Sus scrofa: one gene and its partners. The protein of the gene in region 2 purifies or fractionates together with the protein of the main gene of each other region. This does not show direct contact. Links are inferred from orthologs where the notes say so. Each region holds a gene or a part of one and is shown on either strand. Other genes may lie near its edges.

The links.
Region 1: the proteins of PRMT1 (region 2) and LSM14A purify together in Homo sapiens (affinity purification with mass spectrometry; 3 studies listed by BioGRID and IntAct, with this or other methods). This does not show direct contact. The link is inferred for Sus scrofa from reciprocal best matches to the Homo sapiens genes PRMT1 and LSM14A.
Region 3: the proteins of PRMT1 (region 2) and ALYREF purify together in Homo sapiens (affinity purification with mass spectrometry; 3 studies listed by BioGRID and IntAct, with this or other methods). This does not show direct contact. The link is inferred for Sus scrofa from reciprocal best matches to the Homo sapiens genes PRMT1 and ALYREF.
Region 4: the proteins of PRMT1 (region 2) and KPNA2 fractionate together in Homo sapiens (co-fractionation; 3 studies listed by BioGRID, with this or other methods). This does not show direct contact. The link is inferred for Sus scrofa from reciprocal best matches to the Homo sapiens genes PRMT1 and KPNA2.
Region 5: the proteins of PRMT1 (region 2) and SERBP1 purify together in Homo sapiens (affinity purification with mass spectrometry; 3 studies listed by BioGRID and IntAct, with this or other methods). This does not show direct contact. The link is inferred for Sus scrofa from reciprocal best matches to the Homo sapiens genes PRMT1 and SERBP1.

The regions. Positions count from the first base shown.
Region 1 is NC_010448.4:43,864,874-43,868,385, reverse strand, and holds part of LSM14A (protein LSM14 homolog A), read right to left. Parts: intron 730-3,512; coding exon 566-729; intron 1-565. UniProt on the Homo sapiens protein: Essential for formation of P-bodies, cytoplasmic structures that provide storage sites for translationally inactive mRNAs and protect them from degradation. Acts as a repressor of mRNA translation. May play a role in mitotic spindle assembly.
Region 2 is NC_010448.4:54,721,890-54,725,401, reverse strand, and holds part of PRMT1 (protein arginine N-methyltransferase 1), read right to left. Parts: intron 2,509-3,512; coding exon 2,353-2,508; intron 2,220-2,352; coding exon 2,156-2,219; intron 1-2,155. UniProt on the Homo sapiens protein: Arginine methyltransferase that methylates (mono and asymmetric dimethylation) the guanidino nitrogens of arginyl residues present in proteins such as ESR1, histone H2, H3 and H4, FMR1, ILF3, HNRNPA1, HNRNPD, NFATC2IP, SUPT5H, TAF15, EWS, HABP4, SERBP1, RBM15, FOXO1, CHTOP, MAP3K5/ASK1, MICU1 and NPRL2.
Region 3 is NC_010454.4:1,097,795-1,102,047, reverse strand, and holds the start of ALYREF (THO complex subunit 4), read right to left. Parts: upstream 2,810-4,253; 5' UTR 2,687-2,809; coding exon 2,453-2,686; intron 2,025-2,452; coding exon 1,893-2,024; intron 425-1,892; coding exon 277-424; intron 1-276. Other genes in the region: ANAPC11 (anaphase-promoting complex subunit 11), read left to right, coding at 3,486-3,594. UniProt on the Homo sapiens protein: Functions as an mRNA export adapter; component of the transcription/export (TREX) complex which is thought to couple mRNA transcription, processing and nuclear export, and specifically associates with spliced mRNA and not with unspliced pre-mRNA.
Region 4 is NC_010454.4:14,281,801-14,285,892, reverse strand, and holds the start of KPNA2 (importin subunit alpha-1), read right to left. Parts: upstream 2,802-4,092; 5' UTR 2,768-2,801; intron 987-2,767; 5' UTR 568-986; intron 1-567.
Region 5 is NC_010448.4:145,185,321-145,189,513, reverse strand, and holds the start of SERBP1 (plasminogen activator inhibitor 1 RNA-binding protein), read right to left. Parts: upstream 2,810-4,193; 5' UTR 2,682-2,809; coding exon 2,369-2,681; intron 1-2,368. UniProt on the Homo sapiens protein: Ribosome-binding protein that promotes ribosome hibernation, a process during which ribosomes are stabilized in an inactive state and preserved from proteasomal degradation.

The DNA of each region.
Region 1 (3,512 bases), about 11 Mb from region 2:
GTGAGGCCAGGGACCAAACCTGCATCCTTACAGACACTGCGTCAGGTTTCTAACCCTCTGAGCCACAATGGGAACTCCCACCACCCTGGTTTATAATATGAACCACATGTGAATAACATAGTGGCATGGATCCTGGAGCAGACGTCTTAGATCTATTCAAACTATGGCTCTACCTCAATTTCTTTGCTGGCAAAAATGAGAATAACTACAGTAAAAGCTCAGAGGGTATATTATTACTTAAGGAGGACTGTCTTATATACAGTGCTTTGAATAGTGCCTCTTATAAAGTTAGACCTCAATACATATTAGCTATCTTAACTGTTGCTGAAATAGACAATATAATAAAAATTAACTCCTCGGCCATTTCTTTATTAATTCCAACTTACGCTCTAAAGAGAAAAACCTGGGTGAGAACATTATACAGTTATTTAAGGTATCTAGATAAATAAACTACATGAGTATTCAATTGAGAAAATTCAAAAAACAAAAACAAGGAGAGGCAAAATCCAAGGCTAGTTATGTGCGTGAAATTTGCCCATACTCCAAGACAGATTTACTATGTTACCTGAACGATAGCTGGGTCCTGAGGCAAAGAACATTGTGGTTTTGGTGGCTCACAAACAGTTAGGTCTTTAATATCACTCCCACGGAATATAATGTATTCAAAGACTTCATCTCGAGGTGGTATTGGACGATCTGTTGGTCTGTCTTCTGTACCAAAGGACCGAACTGGTGAGAAAACAGAGGATATGAGGTAGTTTCTATTCATTGCATTCAGGTAGTGCTCTTACAAATGCACTATTTCAAGTATTAAGCAGCAGTTCTTAAATGTCATCCATGAGAAAATATTTATTAATTTGCAGCTAAATAGTTTTAAAAAGTCACAGCTGTGGCTCAGATTCAATCCCTGGCCTGGGAACTTTCAAATGCCATGGGTATGGCCATAAAATTTTGTAAAAAAGGACTATCTATGTTACATGGTTGTGTTCTTCCTACATTTTTATTTACTTAAATCTTTGGTGGTTGTGGTAAGAGGAAATATTAAAAATATTCGTTGATTTATTTTTAATGTCCTTATTTGGCAAAACAAAAAACCGGCAACCTGTGTAATATTTTTGGGGCGGGGGGCAGGGAGTGAGTGAAGATTTCCAATCTACAAAAAGTGCCAAATTCGAGAAACTGAACTTCGAGCTTAAGATGAGACAACAGAAAGAACATCTCTCTTGGTGAGTTTGTCCTCTAGAAGCTAAGGAAAGCAGCTATCACCTATTCAGCCCATTGGACAGCCTGAAATGCTCTAGTTAACTAAAATACCTATCTCATATTAAATCTGATTATTTTAACACTTAAGATAGCATTACTTAAGGAGTTCCTACTGTGGTGCAGTGGGTTAAGAATCCAAATGCCAGGGCTCAGGTCACTGCAGAGGCAGGGGTTTGATACCGGGCCTGGCTCAGTGGGTTAAAGGATCTAGCATTGCTGTAGCTGCAACCTAGTTCGCGGCTGTGGCTGGGATTCACTCTGGCCCAGGAACTTCCATGTTCTGCATGTGTGGCTGTAAAATAATAAAAAATAAAAAAGATAGCAGTATTCAAAGCTGAACTGTGGACCACCTGCATTAGGGTGAGCTAGCTAATAAGATTTCTGGGATCCTCTTAAAAAACCTACTGACTCAGACTTTCTGGGAAAAGGGTGCAGATATCTGCATTTTAAACCAATTCCTTAAGAGAGTCTTTTTTTTTGGCTGCGCTTGCAGCATACAGAAGTTTCTGGGCCAAGGACTGAACCCGAGCCATAGCAGCAACGACACCAGATCCTTAGCCCACTGAGTCACCAGTGAACTCCAAGAGAGTCTTATGAATTCTTTTTTTTTTTTTTTTTTGGTCTTTTTGTCTTTTCTAGGGCTGCACCTGCGGCATATGGAGGTTCCTAGGCTAGAGGTCCAAGTGGAGCTGTAGCTGCCAGCCTACACCAGAGCCAGAGCAACAAGGGATCCAAGCTGCATCTGTGACCTAGACTACAGCTCACAGCAACGCCAGATCCTTAACCCACTGAGTGAGGCCAGGGATTGAACTCGCAACCTTATGGTTCCTAGTAGGATTTGTTAACCACTGCGCCACGACAGGAACTCTGAGAATCTTATGAATTCTTAAAAGACTTCTAAAAATGTGAACATCTCCACAGAAGCTCCAAATAGGAAAGTTTGCAGTATCAGATAGTATCCATTTAAAGAGTATCCTAGAGGAAGTAAGCCCCTTAACACTGTGCAAAGTTTCAAATTTCAGTTTCAATGATGCCTTTAAAAAAAAAAAACCTGGAGTTCCCGTTGTGGCGTGGTGGTTAACGAATCCGACTAGGAACCATGAGGTTGCGGGTTCGGTCCCTGCCCTTGCTCGGTGGGTTAATGATCCGGCGTTGCCGTGAGCTACGGTGTAGGTTGCAGACGCGGCTTGGATCCCAAGTTGCTGTGGCTCTGGCGGAGGCTGGCGGCTGCAGCTCCGATTCGACCCCTAGCCTGGGAACCTCCATATGCCGCGGGAGCGACCCAAAGAAATAGAAAAAAGACCAAAAAAAATTTAAAAAAATCCTAAAAATTATTTCCAGTGCTTATAAGACTTTTAGAAAAGATGGTGACCTAGGTGTAGGTTTGCAGAACATTCCTCCCTAAAACTAAAGAAGATTAAAGTTAAGATAACCTTAAACTAGGAAAATGCCTCAAGCCCATACCATAAAGCTTTAATAAAAAATATCATTCAGATACTCAATGAGTTAGTCTAAACTGGAAGACCAATTCCAGAATCCATATGTAGCATGCTGAGAAATTTTCCCAGGCACCCTCCAACTTGGTGGATGGGGACAGGAACACAGACATGATAAAGGAAAAGATGTAGAATGCCCTAGCTGAGGTTCCTCTTTCTCTGATGGCCAAACTATACTTTATCACGGAATGAGTGATAAAGTGACAAGGTCCTACATTTTGTCCTTTAACCAAAAAGAAGGCTAGAAAGAATTACAAAAAGCTAGACTAAGAAAATTACAAATAAATCAGTTTCGCTCCTAACCTTACCACCGTCACTACTACCACCATACAATGTTTTACAAAATCTCAAACATCCAAAGTAAGAGATTATCTCATCCTGAAGCTGTGGGTGGGTGAGAAGCTTCATGAGACTTTCCAAGGCATAACAAAACCATGCAGACTACACCCATGTACTCAAAAGACAGATTAAAAATCCACCGAGAGGAATGCCTGTCGTGGCACAGAGGAAAGGAATCTGACTAGGAACCATGAGGTTGTGGGTTCGATCCCTGGCCTTGCTCAGTGGGTTAAGGATCTTGGTGTTGCCGAGAGCTGTGGTGGAGGTTGCAGACATGGCTCAGATCTGGCATGGCGTGGCTGTGGCTGTGGTGTAGGCGAGCAACTACAGCTCTGATTGGACCTCTAGCCTAGGAACCTCCATAGGCCACAGGTGCAGCCCTCAAAAGACAGAAAAAAAAAAAAAAAATCCACT
Region 2 (3,512 bases):
TCTCTGCAGGACCTTGCTGTTTATCCAGCCTGTATATAATCGTTTGGTCATGTTGTTTATTTATTTATTTGGCTGCACCAGAGGTATGAGGAAGTTCCCGGGCCAGGCATCAAACCTGAGCCACAGCAGTTGCCAATCCTGGATCCTTAACCCCCTGTGCCAGCAGGGAACTCCAACGTCATGGTTTTCAAATGGCCTTAGAGGTACAAACAGCAGGTATTATTACAAAGTTGGAACCTGCTTCAAATGGAGGTATTTAAAACTAATGTGATGGGTCCTTGAGGCTTTCTTACACCAGCCTCTTGGGAAAAAAAAAAAGTCCCTTCAGTTTCTAGAATGCCAAGAGACTTCGTGTCTGGAAAACCCACCATCTTCCCAACCTTTTCACATTACTCTTTCTGGCCACACCCATACCATGGGGCCAGGGATTGAACCTGCACTATAGCAGTGACCCAAGCCACTACAGTGGCAATGCCAGATCCTTAACCTGCTGAGCCACCAGGGAACTCCTTCCTCATTTTTTTTTTTCCTTCTTATGACCCCACCTACAGCATATGGAAGCTCCCAGGCTAGGGGTTGAGTTAGAGCTACAGCTGCCAGCCAAGGCCACGACCACAGCAACACCAGATCTGAGCCACATCTGTGACCTATGCCGCAGCTTTTGGCAAAGCTAGATCCTTAACCTGTTAAGCAAGGACAAGGATTGAACCTGCATCCTCAGACACTATGTCAGGTTCTTAACCCGCTGAGCTACAAGGGGAATCCCTCCTTCCTCATTTTTGACCCATGCAATCCTACTCTCAAAAAGTGACCTCACAGCTATACCAGTTCGTCTATCAGATGGCAATGACAGTACATGCGGAGGGATGAAAGTCTCAGAAGCAGCTTAAATGCTCATCACTAGGAATCTGGTTAGGAAAGCTGCTGTAGGGAGCTCCCCCTGTGGCACAGTGGATTAAGGATCTGACTGTAGCGGTTCTGGTCCCTGCAGAAGTGCAGGTTCGATCCCTGGCCTTGCTCAGCGGGTTAAGGACCCAGCGTAGCTGTGAGCTGTGATGTAGGCTGCAGACACAGCTTGGATCTGGCATTGCTGTGGCTGTGGCGTAGGCCGGCAGCTGTAGCTCGGACTGGACCCCTAGCCTGGAAACCTCCATACACCATGGGTGTGGCCCTAAAAAGAGGGGGAAAAAAAAAAAAAGAAAAAAAAAAGACAACCAACTGCTCAGCACAGGCAACTAAACTCCATGTTTTCTAATAACCTATAAGGAAAATAACTCTGACGAAGGTGTATACATCTATTTTTGCTGTTGGAGTTCCTGCTGTGGCGCAACAGGATCAGTGGTGTCTGGAGCACCAGGACACAGGTTCGATCCTCGCTGGGCACAGTGGGTTAGGGATCTAGTGTGGGGCAGCCAACAAAAGACAAAAGAAAAACATCCAACTTCGCTGTCTACCTAAAACTAACACGACACTGTAAATCAACTATACTTCAGCAAAAATAAAATAAAAAAAAAAAAGGGCAAAAAAACTTGAGTTTATCTGTGTCAAAAATACACACCTGATAAAAAATAAAAAATTATGCAGTGAATGTAGAAACACAAGTCCACCTGCTCATAGAGGCAGACGGCTCTGGAAGGACGTGTTGGCGGAAGCCCGAGAAGGACAACTGCGAGGCAGACGGGAAGCTTCTCACCCCGGGCCCTCAGGGGTCAACCAAGGAATTCTACCACTCAGTGAAAAAACTACAGACTGTTTTTCTTTTAAAAGAAATTATTACTAAATTTTTTTGGCCTGCAACGTGCAGCAACTTGATGTTGGACCTCAGCTCCCAGACCAGGGATCCAACCTGGGCCACGGCAGTGAAAGCACCAAATCCTAATCCCTGGACCACCAGGTAACTCCCTAAAGATTGCTTCTTGCTCTGCCTTTAAAAAAAAAAAAAAAAAAAAAACCACCAAAAATCGAGGCACTAAGCTGGCGACTTTGACAGCTCATTTCTGAGTAGGCAGAATTCTCGGGCTGTCCGCGGCCCAGAGCCCATGGGGGAGGAAGGCAGGAATTCAAGTTCAGTGGCCCCTGTCGCCTTGCCAAGGACCCCAGGGAAGCGGGGATGGTCCACTCCCTCCCCCCACGCCCGTTCTCTTGCTGGGCTCACCGTGGTCTAACTTGTTGGCTTTGACGATCTTCACCGCATAATCAGAGATACTGGAACACTCGATCTGGGGGCCCAGGAAGAAGGGAGGGTGAGAGACCCCCCCAGTGCCACCCTCAGCCCCCACCCCCTCCCAATCCCTGAGCTCCACAAGGTCCCCTTGGCGTCCCTGGGCCCGCCCAGCCACCCAGGACACTCACCCCGATGACCTTGCGGGCACCGGCCTTGGCAGCGAACATGCAGAGGATCCCTGTGCCCGAGCCCACGTCCAGCACCACCTTGTCCTTGAAAAGGTGCCGGTTGTGAAACATGGAGTTTCGGTAGGTGAGGGTGCGCACCTCATCTTTCAGCATTTCCTGGGAAGGGGGGAGCACAAAGACACCTTGAGGGAGCCTGCATCCCCAGCTGGAAAACAGGGTGCCCCGGCCTCCAACACGCGCACCGTTTGAAGCACTGGAGCTTGGCTCTCGCACTTGCTTCCTCGACTCCCTTGAACAAGTCACTTCCCTTCCACGTGCTTCCATCTCCCTATTTGTAAAATCAGACTGGATGGACTGAACTCCCACCTTTTTTTTTTTTTTTTTTTGCTTTTTAGGGCCGTACCCGAGGCACACAGAGGTTCCCAGGCTAGGGGTCGAATGAGTGCTACAGCTGCCAATCTATGCCACAGCCACGGGGGATCGGAGCTGCGTCTGCGACCTACACCACAGCTCACAACGACGCCGGATTCCCGACCCAATGATCGAGGCCAGGGATCGAACCCGCATCCTCATGTATACTAGTCACATTCATTTCCACTGCACCACGATGGGAACTCCTGAACTCCCATCTTTACAGATGGACCACTGCCCTGAGTCCCTGCTGTCCTTGGCTTTAAAAAGTCCTCAGTAACTTAATGCCACTGAGCTGTATACGTGAAAATGGCAAACTGTTATGCACTTTTTTTTAATCACAATAAGAAAAGAAAAACACATCCCGGTCCTAGGTGATTTCTGGGACCTCAGCCTCCACCGCAGGCAAAAAAACGTCTAGAGGCAGCCCGCACTCTGAGTCCGAGGAGCTGGCGGACAGTCCCACCACCGGCCACTAGGGGGCGGCAGAGACCAGCAGGCCCCGACCTCGGGCTGAAGTCCCCAGCGCACATGCGCACTCCCACCCGCGCCCCTGAGCTGGCCCGGCTGGCGCAGTGCCAGCCTCGCCTCAGTCTCCAAGGCAACAGCTGGGAGCGTCGACCCCCAGGGTGTGAGTAGCCAGCGGAGGGACTGCCCGCTCCCTTCCCCGGCAGCACGCATGCCTTAGAAATTAAGTCCCCCCCCCCCCACCAAACACGAACCCCGTGAAGATTCAGGGGCCCTAGGAG
Region 3 (4,253 bases), on a different chromosome or scaffold from region 2:
GCGGACTACGGCGGTTCTGAAGGGCCTTCGCAGAAGGGAGTCTCCTGCAAGGAGCTGCAGGAGGGGAGGACTGGGGCTTGCTTGCTGGAGGGGGTTCACGAGAGGCTGGTCCAGGTGCGCGGGGGAGCGTGAGACGGCAGAACGGGAAGAGGGAGAAAAAGGGGCGACGGCCAAGTGTCCTCAGGCACAGGCGGCCCCACTCCTGGCGCCCGAGGCCTTTCTGGGCGCGGCTCCCGACGCACCGTCCAGGGCCACGCACCGTCCAGGGGTACGCACCGTCCAGGGGTACGCCGTTGTACTGCTTCATAGCTTTCAGGGCGTCTGCTTTCCGCTCAAAGTGCACATCAGCGGTCCCCAAACTGCGGCCCGATCGGTCATAGTGCACAGCCGCCTTCTTCAGAGTTCCAAACTCAGCAAAGAGTTCCTGTGAGTCCGAAAGAGCACTCGTCAGCGAAGCCCTTTTCTTCCTGGCAGCCCAGGGACACTCCCTGGAAGTGTGCACTGCTTTGGGGTATCTACCTGGGAGGCAGACGTCACGTGTGGGGGGGGCAGGGCAGTGGTAGCGGGAACTGGGGGATGGGATGGGGCAGGGGGACAGCAACTTCCAGGCAGGAGCCGTTGGGCCTGAGGGCTCCTGCCAGTCGGGGGACCTGACACAGGTACCACAGTGCAGGTAAAGCATCACAAAGCCCGCGGGGAAGGGCGCGAGATTAAGTGGCCCTCGCCTTCTACAGAGGAAGACCTACGACACGCCCGAGGACTGCGCCGAGAAGCTGCAAAGGCCAAGATCACAGAGCGAGGGGCTCTAAGCCAAGGTGGATCAGCTCGAAGGGCCCGCTGACTCGGGAGCCCTGACCCAGCCCCTCCCCCGGGCAGATTCGGGCTCACCTTTCCCTCTCCTCCTACTCAAGCCTGCCGCAAAGTCTGAAGTCAAGCGCTGCCATGGAAACTGCCCTGACCTCAGGCAGGCTGGGAGTTGGAGAGGGAACCCAGAGTGTGGGGCTACTCCGGCCGCAGGCACACAGCGGGAAGTGGAGTTCACCAAAAGCGGTTTCCAGTGGATGCCAGAAACCACCTTAAAAAAAGTGTGGAGACACTGTGAGCGCTCACTGGCCTTGCTCTGTCCCCCCACGGCTAAGTAAAACGGCTGGGCTCTGGGAGACCGAACCCAGGAAGGCCCCTCACCCGGACCCAGCCATCTGCAGGACTGACCCCCAAAACGGCATTACTTCACGAGAAAACCAGTTCAAGTGCCTTGGAGAGTGGATTTAAAAAAGAGAAAAAGAAACGGAAAAGAAAAGAGGCTTGAGTCGAAGACGAGACTAAATAAACACTTGCGCCGCTAACGAGACCCAGAGCGTGAGCATAGGTGAGAGAAAGACCGGGACCCAGTTCCACGGGGCTTAAGGCAGAGGGGACCAGAGATGCCTGTAGCACTCTGCTTCTGCACTTTGTCAGCCCTGCAGAGAAAGGGCTTTCTCCTCCCAAAGCATCACTAAAACGGGCACGAAATAAAGCCGCAGACAGCCGCGCTCTTTCAGGGACGCAGAACCACACGCGTTCAGCCACACTTGCCAGAAAAGGGCAGGCAGAGGCTCCTCACCCCCACGGCGGATGCTTAGCTACCAAAGCCGCGGTGCCTCGGCCCGGCCCGACCCGGGCCTGTCTTCCAGCGCAAACTGAACCAGCAGTTGGACTTTCAGCTCTAGCTTGGCCTTTGCTATGCACTCCAGCAGCCCCTTCCAGGGAGCAGTGGTGGCCAGCCCTCGAGGGCCTGGGAGGGGCTCACTGTCCCAAGGTGGGTGCGGATTCAGGGTCCCGGCCCGTCCCAAACACCACAGTCAGTGCTGTACAGGGTGAGCTGCTCCCGAGGAGAAGCTCCAGTCTCTTACCTGAATATCAGCGTCGGACACGCCAAAATCCAGATTTGACACCAACAGTTTCCCACCGGTCTCCACGCCGGCACCACCCCCAAAACCGCTGTCGAAAAGGTCGTGTTGCCATTTGTCAGGAAGCTGTTTCGGCTAAAGAAAAAGAAAACGCGACAGAAAAAGACCCATAAGTCGCGCTCCAGGACTCGCCCTCGCCCCCACGGCCACAAGACCTTCCCCCATCGCGGCCCGGGAGGAAGGCACCGAGAGGGGCCCGCAGCCCCCGCTTCCCGCCCGCGGGGCCGCACTTCCCGCAACTTCTCGGTTCCCTCCAACTAACTTCCCGCCGCCAGGGCGGCCGCGCCAACGTCTCCTCGGCCCCCGGCGCCACGAGGCCCGGCGTCCAGCCCAAACAAAGGCCGGTGGGGTCTCGCTTCGGGGCCCGGCTGGCGCGCGACCTCCCCCGTCCGCCCGGCCGGCGCCCGCGCCCCCACCCCCCCGGCCCGGCCCGCCCGCTGCTCCCGCGTCGCGCTGCCTGCCCGCCCCCCGGCCGCGGCCCGCCAGCCGGCCTCCGCACTCACCCTGCTGTAGGGCGCCGGCCGGTTCCTGCCGCCGCCCGCCGCGCCGCGGGCGATGGCCGGCCGGTTCCGAATGGGTCCGCCGCCTCGGCTCACTCGCGCGGCAGCCTGCGCCCCGCCGCCGCGGCCGCCCTGGGAGCCGGCCCGGCCGCGGCCCCTGCCCCCGCCGCGGCCGCCTCGCTGGCTCCGGTTCAGCTTAATGATGTCGTCCAGAGACATATCCATTTTGTCGGCCATGGCGGGCGCGGAATCGGCCTCGGCTGGAGCCCGCGCGTCAGCACGCCGGCGCGTCACTTCCTGCGCCGCGCGGCCTTTTCCGGGCCTGCGTCCTCGGAGCGGCCGCGGATTGGCTGCGAGGCGGCGGCGGCGTCGGGGGGCGGGGCGGGGCGTGCGCGCTGGACCCCGGGCTTCGGCGGGCGCCGCTGAGAAGTGCCTGTCCGCAGCCGCGGTCGTTTATATACCTTCCCGCGCGGGCGCCGGCGCCGCCAACGGAAGGCGGGTGGGGCAGCGCGTGATTTGGTTAGTGGGGGTGCGGCCGTTGGGCGGGGCCGGGCTTCCGCCCCTCCCTTGCCCCTCCTTGCACGTCCTAACCGGGTCCTGCCCCTCCCCCCGCCCCGAACCCGCGCTCGGGTCCGCGGAGGCGGGGGGAGCGGCCGCGCAGGCCGGGGGCTTGTTTCCGCGGGTGTCTTGCAGGGAGGGGTTTGGCTCTCCTCCTGACCTCGACAGTCATGTCCCTTTCAGACGTACACACGGCAGGATTTTGCAGTGGTTAACGGAAGCCGACGCCCCCTTCCGTGGACGCCCGGGCAGAAGCGCGGCGTTGGGAGATGCGCTGAGCGCCCGGTCCTCCCGGGGACCCGGCCCTTGCCCCAGCCGCCTCGCTGACAGTTTGTGCTGCCCTGCCGGAGGCGACTCCTGCCCTCCCCGACCCTCTAGAGGGCTCGGGGCGGAACCTCTTCTTTGGCTCCCAAGTGCTGTAGCTCAGCAGCCTCACCGGAACCCCGGGGGTCTCTTCCCTCCCGCAGGCTCCCGCGCCATGAAGGTGAAGATCAAGTGCTGGAACGGCGTGGCCACGTGGCTCTGGGTGGCCAACGACGAGAACTGCGGTATCTGCCGGATGGCCTTCAATGGCTGCTGCCCGGACTGTGAGTGCCCCTGCCCGCCCTCGAGTTTTGACTGCTTGCTGGCCTTGGCAGGTCCTTAGAGATACCTGCATAGCATCCCCAGCGTTTGATTTCCTTTCCCCAAGAAAGTTAATGGGGAAAGGCTAGTCAGTTTGGGCCCATGTTTGTACACGAGACGTCTGTCAAAGGTTTGGTGAGAAAAAAGAGCACAGCTTCCTGTCCAGGTGAGAGTCACTGTGAAACACGTGGGACTGAGAGATGTGTTAAGATCTTTTATTCGAAGACCTTTATTCTCAAGCCAACAAAAGAATGGAATGTTATAAAACCACTCTCCCATCTAGCAGGTCAAACCGGAAATGACATGTTTCCGTATTTGCTTTTGTCCAAATGTTTTAAAGTCAGTGCTGGAGGTAATGCTTTTTGCCACTCACTTCTCTCTGTCATTCGCCACTGCTGTCACCACAGACAACACAACGCAAGGAGACATCTTTTGCCGCTTTTGCCGTGTTCGTTCCTTCCCAGGGTGTTTGGTGAAGTGAAAGTGGTTGTTATATTCAGGTCAAGAGTTAATTTAGTTTGGGGACAGACGAAAGGGTCTCTGGCTTTGCCAAGGGGACAAGGGTGGTCCCAAGAGGGAGGTGGGGCTTGGGGACCACTGAGCAGCTGCTCGGGTGCAGTGA
Region 4 (4,092 bases), on a different chromosome or scaffold from region 2:
ACCAAATTAGGTTGATATCCCCAGCTGTGCTTCACTCAGACGTGGCTACTTAAGCGCACTCCCCAAAAGATCACAAAAGGAAAAGTCCTCCTAAGGGGGGGAGGGGGCTATCTTTAATTTCATTTTGTTCTTTTACGAAATAGTGACACAACCAACCCAGGGCCGACGTGTTTTAAGAGACAGCACTTCCAACTGCCACCTCCATCTCCAGTCCCTTCCCCTGCTCCCCCCTCCCCGCCCCATTTCGGGGAAGGAGCAGCCGGGAACTGACGGAGGAGGAGCCAGAGGCGCCCGGCAACCTACTTGGGCTTTCGCCCTCGGGCCTCACTCTGATTCTCGAGTAAATGCCATTGCGGCGGTTTGCAGAGCCTCGGGCCCTAAAACCCAAGCACCCGCATCCCCAAACACCCGTCTCGTAAACGAACGACCCCAAAGGCCTCGTCAACCAAAGAAGCCAAAGCTAGGCCAGGCGTATAGCCCGGGCCTTCCCTCCCGCCACCCACAAGCCGAGCCCGGCCTACAGGCCAGCCGTTGCCACTCAGGCCGGACTGCGGCCTAGGTTCGTACCTACACAGCCGGCTCAGGCTTCCACAGGAGGCGGTCAGGGGCGCTCAGGCTGCGGCTCAGGGTCTCTCAAAACGTCCACCACGGTCAGCGCGAGGACAGTGTGGCTCGTGCAGCCGGCGCGATTTAAATTTCCCGGTGGCTCCGCATTCCGATTGGCTGGTTCGAGCTTATGCTAGACGTCCATTGGTGGATTTGAAAAACACGTTGGGAGGGGTCAGAGGGCCCAGAAGATACGATAGCATCGCGAGATGAGGGAGCGGCCGGGCGATCCCAGAGCGCCCCGCAGTTCGGAGGCGGCAGCCTTCAGGTCCCGGCGTGCAGCGCGAAGGGCTAGTTTCCAGCCCGCCTTGGCCATAGCCTCGGTCCTTTACCGAGGGTTTACTCGTGTACAGTGGTTGGTCGTTACCCTTGGCGTCTGCCTTAAGAGAACCACAAATGATTCCCCAAATAATTTTTAAAATTTCGATATAGAAATACATTGCTATGTATTTTTTTCTCTGATAGGACTCAGAAGAAAAAGGCCACCAAAGGTTAGCAGGGCCACCAAGGAGGGGATGGATAAAGCAGATTTGTGCTGCACTTTTTAGTTTAGTTTTTTTTTTCTTCTAACTTGCATCATAAAAGACTGCATAGACGGCACAAGTAATGGTAACAAAAGGTTTACTACATCTGTTTCTCCAGTCTTATTTTTTATTTTCAAATACAAAAGAACTATAAATCTTTATGCATATTTGCCAAGTGTTAACATTTGCCACATTTACTATTTCTTTCTCTGTGTAAATACCCACACGTACTAGTAGGCCCATATGCATAGCTTTTACATGATACTTTTCAACCTTTTGAAGGGTAAGTTTGAGAAATCATGTCCCTTTATCCCTAAATATTTTGGGTTGCACCTTGGAAGGATAAGGACATTCTGTTATATAACCACTCCACAATCATCAAATTCAAGACATCTGAACTTCGATGTGATTTATTATATAGTCCATGTTCAAATTTTGTCAGTTGTTCCAGTAATGACTTATGCTACAATTTATACATTTCTGAATAAAATGCTTGCATTTTCTTGTAATTTTTAAAAAAGCATCAGTGATGGTTCTCGTAATGTCAGTGTTATAGGCCACTTTGTTTTCATAATTTTTCCGTATTCTGAAAAGGGTATTTTTAAGAAAAGCTGTATTGGTTTTGTTGTTTGTGTGTTTTTTACTATAAATTCAAACAATGGTCTTCGTCTCTTCTTGCAGGCATTTTTGCCAGCTTCATGCACTGTGTAGCAGCCAAGGGAATCACAGGAGGTTGTCTCCTCTCACCTACCCAATCAGTATAATCCTATCTGCCCAAATGCGAAAACGTGGAAGGAATTCACCTGTAAACCAGTCACTGCAAGGCATTCCCTTTGCTACAATGAATGGCTCAGGGGCAGTCATCTGACCTAATTTCATCCAGTTGTGAAGCCTATGCTTTTTGTTTAATGATTGGAGGTGGGAAAGCAGGCTCTGTTCCGAACTGAGTGATGTGAGTTCTAGAAATTTGAGTTAAGACAATTGTAGAGAAACCATGAAAGCTTTGATCACCATCCTGACCTACCTCAGAAGGCTGCAATTATATCATCCTTTGTGATAATTATATCATCACTTCCTTTGTTGTTTAAGTTAGTGTAATTGGGCTTTCTTTTGCATGAAAATATCGGTATTACGTGCCTAGAAGTGTTTGGTATTACCGATATGAAAATTCATCTTCACAATTCTGTGAGGTAGTATTACTATCTGTTCCATTTCACAGAAGAGAAGAGCGGGTGGTTAAGTAACTTGTCAGGTTCACACAGGAACAAATGGCATTCAAACCTAGACGGGCAAATTTGAAGAAAATTTTGTTCACCCTGCAACGACCTAACAGTTGCCTTCCTTAATGGGTTATCCAATTAATGTACGTTGACTAAATGCAAGAATGAAAAAGAAGTAGTTTGATAAAGAAGGAAAGGTTGAGGGGGATGCAGGAGAACCTTCCGGCAGAGGAAGGGGCCTGAACTCTGTAAAATGCAGAGGCCTGGGCCTACCCAGGTGAATAGAATTAGAACGGGGTGGGATGGAGGACAGGCTTCGGAATTTTCTTTACAATTCCCCAAGTGCGCTTAATATCTAGTATGCAGCCAGTGCTGAGACCTTTACCGTAAGAACCCAACAGGTAGGAGGCCACTCACTGCGGCGCAGAGAATCCCGCAGGCAGGCCACGCACCATCGGGGAAGGCGGGTGGGGAGGACAACGCGCATGCGCGGGGAGGCTAGGTTGGTGGGCGGGGCTGAGGGCGGGCGGGGCCGAGAGCGCAGGCGCATTTTGCCGTCGCTGGGGGCGGCTCCCAAATCCCACGCCGCCCGACGTGAGGCCGCCAAGCTCGGGGGCGGGGCGCGATGATGGCATCGCGTAAGGAGATGGTGTGAGAACGCGGATCCTGTGGTGACCCAGTGGCCTAATGGATAAGGCATCAGCCTCCGGAGCTGGGGATTGTGGGTTCGAGTCCCATCTGGGTCGTACACAGACTAATTTTGGTGCAAGGGGAAAAAAGTGATTACAGGCACTTAGAACTCAAAGTAGATTTTGAAATGTCATTATTTCGCTTTCTCTACAGAGCTATGAGGTCTGTTGTACTTACAAATTAGGAAATGCATCTCCGTGTTTTAACAGCACTGCAAGTGAGAACTTGCAAGTGAAAGTCACAATCTCACCTACAGAATCATTTAGTTTATACGGGTCTTTAAAGGAAAAAGGTTGAGGAAAAGGAACCGCCAATTTGACAGATGGCATCACCTCTTTCTCTGCCTTTTTAAATTGAGTTTATATGTATTTTGCTGTACACCTGAAATTACTACAACGTTTACGTCAACTATACTCCAATAAAATTAAAAATAAATGAATAAACTGAGTTTTCCATGGGCAGCCACACAGACAAAACTTCCTCCCCATCCTTATCCCATCCTGCTCACAGTGTGAGCAGATCCAACTGTGTTGACTCCAGACTTATTTCCAGTACTAAGGAGAATGTATAAGCAACTGTGTTTTTAACTGTATTAAAACATACAAATATAATAAATATAATTTATGGTTTCTGTCCCTAAAGTATTATGAACAACAAATTACAGCTGGATCATAAGGTTTGTGTGTGTGTATTTGATTTGCAATAAAAGAAATACAATCGAGTTTTTACGCTTTTCAGACTGGTTCAGTTGACTAGAAAAGTTTAAACTCTTCTTGTAAAACTTGTATAAGACGAATATCACTGAGTTAACTCCTACTCTTGAAAAACAGCAAAATACTAAATGCAGTGTCATACCTGGATTTGAGCTTGGATGTTCATGGAAAAAAAAAAAAAAAAAAAAAGCGGACTCTGAATACATTCTCTAGTTAGTGACCAGCAGTCTACCAATGTTGATTTCTTCCTCGTGACAAATGTACATGGTTACGTAAGATGTTAACATTAAAAGAAAGTGAATGAAGGGTACATGGGAGCCCTCAGTTCTATCTTCGCAA
Region 5 (4,193 bases), about 90 Mb from region 2:
CATCAGAAGCAGTGTATTGGGGTGGAGCTACGGAACCAATCCTAATAATATCCAAAACACACACACGCCCAAATGAACAATGGCTTGATTCCCCACCCCAATATTCAACATTAGGTTAGCTTACAGAATTGAAAATTTTTCACCCAATGACTGATATTTTAAAATGCAAGCTTCTCTTTTTACTAGCTTCCAGGCTTTTAATATTAAACCAAAAACAAAAACACCTTGGTATACTCAGTGATATTCTTTGGTGTCAATTCTCAAGTTCCTCAAGTGTGCAAAAAACAAACTACGAAATTCATAAAATATAATCATTAAACACATATGTAAGGCATGTCTAGAATTGTGCCAGGACCTCTACTCAAAGGCAGAGAACACAGGATCAGGATAAAAATCCTTCCCAGTACAAGAAGGAGACTTTGTTTACAGTTCTTTCCTTTCCCAACCCCAGAACACTGACTGCCAAGTAGTAAGATCTCAAAACAAAATTTTTTTCATTCACCATTTTCACTATATTTATAAGCCAGTGTTTAATGCAAGTTAAGGTTAGAAATGCTGACCTAAGGAAAATGCTGATAGCTAACAATGGAAGTTTTCCCAAGGATAGACCACTGAATGAACACTCAGCCTTGGTTATAAATTTATAGAATAACTTTCTAACTCTGTAATTTAAAACACTAGTTTCCAGGTAAGAGCTTATTTCAAAGATGGACTTTATAATCAAAACATGAGATATTTAGCCATGCTTCATGCTTTCAACAGTCAAAATGGGTGAACACACTTGATTCAATTTTTTCATGTACTCTTCTTTGGATTAGTGTGATGAAGGAGGTAAACTGAGTATAGCTTAATTACATAAGCCAATGTTCCTTAACATAGAAATTAAATGGTTTATTAGATTGTGCTACAGGTAGCTATAAGGCTTAGTTGACTGCATGGATATTTGGCCTGAGCAATGTATACACGCTTTCTAATACTCAAATTTGTGCATCCCTCACCAACCAGTAATTTTAATACAATTAATTCTTTCATTTACCACCTAGGTTCTTCGTCCCAAACCTCATAAAGCTCTCTATATTTTTTAAAAATTCCAAATTAAAACATAACACAATTGTTTGGACTTTTTAGTTGAGTATTATCAAATTCAATTAAGGTAGTAAGAACTCCTTTCAGAAGCACGTGGCACTAAAGAAAATTTTCAACTTTCAACACACAAAGGAAACCTTTAAGATTCTACGCTTAGGTCCTATACACCGATTTGCTATAGGTCATGTACGTACACTTGCTTTTCCCAAAATGTCTGGGTTTAATCCACTGCAAAGGACAAACCAGTACCGAGAATGCATATACCAAATTCAAAACAATCCTGCGAAGTATTTACAGTGACCTGGAAGCAACTGCTAGCCGCCAATGAAATCCTGACCACGCTTCACGCACATGGGGAGAAAAGGTACAGACTCAAAACGGCTCCGCGGCGGCCAACGCTGTGACAGTCTCCGCGTTTCTTTCACCACGAGGCCCAGGCCAGGCCACACACCACATGAAACAGCGCCTGCGGGAAGGGGTCCTACGGGGGGGAAAGGATCATAATCCCAGGACGAGCCTCAGGTGCTATCACCGGTCGTCAGTGGGAATTCCCGCTCCTGTTCAACCCGGAGTGGCCAAATTTCTCTCCCTCCCAACAGCTTAACTCCTTCCAGCCAGTTATTAAGTTTGTAACGATTAAAGGGACGAAGAGGGAAAAATAAAGCCACATGCGGCACCTACAAAGAAAGGCAGCTTTCTCCACGATATCCGATAGGCTCGAGAGGATGGGTAGCTTTGGTGGAAACTCCGACCCCCGGCTTTGCTCAGGGTACCTCGCGCCATCCTGGGACAAGATGGCAGGACAGGAGCCTAAGAGAGACAATCGCACCTCGAAGCAGCAGGCTGCAGGAGAGCTCCGACAGGAAGAAGCCGCCGAGTCCCTGCTGCCCCGCTAACTACAAATGCCCGTGGAAGCAGCTCCCTTCCCCGAGCCCCGGTCCATGCGCCTGCCCGCCCGCCCAGGAATCCGGCGGGAAGACAAGAGCCTCTCAGGATCCCGAGCACGCTCGAGCAGCAGCTCGTCTCCGGACCACGCTCCTCCGCTCAGAGGCTGAGGCGGGAAGGGGGTGGCTCCAGGATCCTTGCAGGCGGCGGTTTGAACTTGGGGCTACCACGCTCCCAGCACCTTCGGAAGACCTGGCTTTGTCGTGTGGGGGAAACGCGAGAAAATCGGCGGCAAAGCCTCCCGTGGACCCTCGGACCCCAGAAGCAAGTGGTAGCTACAAGTCCCCTCAGTCCTTCCCTCCATCCCGGGTCTCCGTGGCTTCCACCACAGCTTTACCTTCTTTCTTAAGCGCCACAGGCGGCTGCGTCTCCTCCTTCTTGTCAACCACGCCAACGTTGGGGGGCAGCGGGTTCTTGCGGTCTTTCTGGGATTCTTTACGCAGCTGTTTGCCCGCCGCGTTGGAGTTGGTCTGCGCTGCGGCCTGAGCTGCGCTCTTGGCCCCAGGGCCCCCAACGCCGCCCCCGCCGGCTTCTTTTTTCTTGTTCTCTGCTGCCTTCAACACCTCGAAGGGGTCCGATTCGTCGTCAAATAACTGGTCGAATCGGTTGGTGACCACGCAGCCGAAGCCTTCCTGTAAGTGCCCAGGCATGATGGTGGCTCGGCGGCGCGTTCCTCCACGGATTGCAGCGGGCCGCGCCGAGCCAAGAGCGCCTGCTTCAGCTCTTCCCACAAGATGGCCGGGCTGCGAGAGGGGGGCCGTCTTCTCTTCCGGCGCCAGGCACACATCCGGTAGCGGCCAGCGCCGCAAGGCACCACGGGGTATGTAGGCAAGAGTCGCTTTTCCCGTGGCGATTCCCAGAGCCAGCACTACGATTCCCAGAGTTCACGGCGCGACAACTCTTCGCGCGCGCCTCAGAGGCGGGACCTCACCGAGGGAGTGGAGCGTGCAAGCTGAGGGAGGAGAAGCGCGGTGGTGGGCGGAGTTCTGCCACCTGCTCTCACCACCCTTAAACTCTCTGGGTCTTGAGCTGCGCTGAAAACAGGAAAACGTGAAGGCGTGTTTTCCTCGCGAAAGTTCTCAGTCTTCGGTTTTACTTCCCGCCTCCGGTCCAGGGCTAACTTTCCCCACCTCTCTAGGAGGGTCAAGGTGGCTACCAGTCTTATAAATGGAAACAAACTTCGAGGGGTTGCAGAGGTGCCGCTCTCTTCCAAGTGCCCCAGCTACTCAGTTGCTGGCGTCTCCCTCCTGCAGCCCCATTAATGAATCGAGACTCTTCTGCTTAATGTGAAGCGGAATACGCTTCCTCTCGCGGGGACTTGAACTCGAGCAGCAGAATTAACCTAAAAGACAAGTTGAAGTATTATATGTGAGTGTTGCGCGCTTGCGACCGGTGCTTTATTTGCTGTTAACTCCCGACAGTGCGGCGCTAGCCAGACCCTGGGCAAACCTCGAAAAGGCGTTGCTTATAGAAGAAACACTTTCTAGAGTCAATCTGATTGTCCGTTAGTGTCCGGAAAGGTACAGATTGGGTGTTTGTAAAATGTGCCAAAGAAGTAACATTTTAGAGCAACCGAATGAATGTGTGGTGTGCTAAAAAGTGCATTGAGGGGAGGAAAATGTCAGCGAATTGACTGTCATTATTAGTTGAAAATATTAAAGTCCTTTGAGATCATAGAGTGTCGATGCATATTCAAGCATATTTGGTAACACTAAGTTTAAATGTGTTGTCATAATTTTTAAACCTTTTTCCAGTAACGCAAAATATAGGGGAAAAAAATGCATCTCTATGTTCAGAGGCTATGAATGACCTTAATGTCAACAACCTGTTAGGTAGGTTTCCCTTTTCACAAATTAAAACCATTTCAGAGGTGAAAAGATTTACCAAGTTTACACTTCTGTAAATGCTAGTGCCAGGAGTTAACCCAGTCTTCTAATTCCACTCTGAGACGCTTGACATCCTTTTTAATCCAAATGCTACCTTTTGATAGAAGCCAGTCAATTATCAGTTCATTTCCAATATTTGATAAAATCTAAATATTGTTGCTTGTCAAGCAGGGTATGTAACATGGCCAAATGCAATCTTATCGATTTCTGAGAGGAATTCAAGTCAATTCCTTAACATGGGAAATAAAAGAGTCATATTACAGTCCTGTGGCAGCA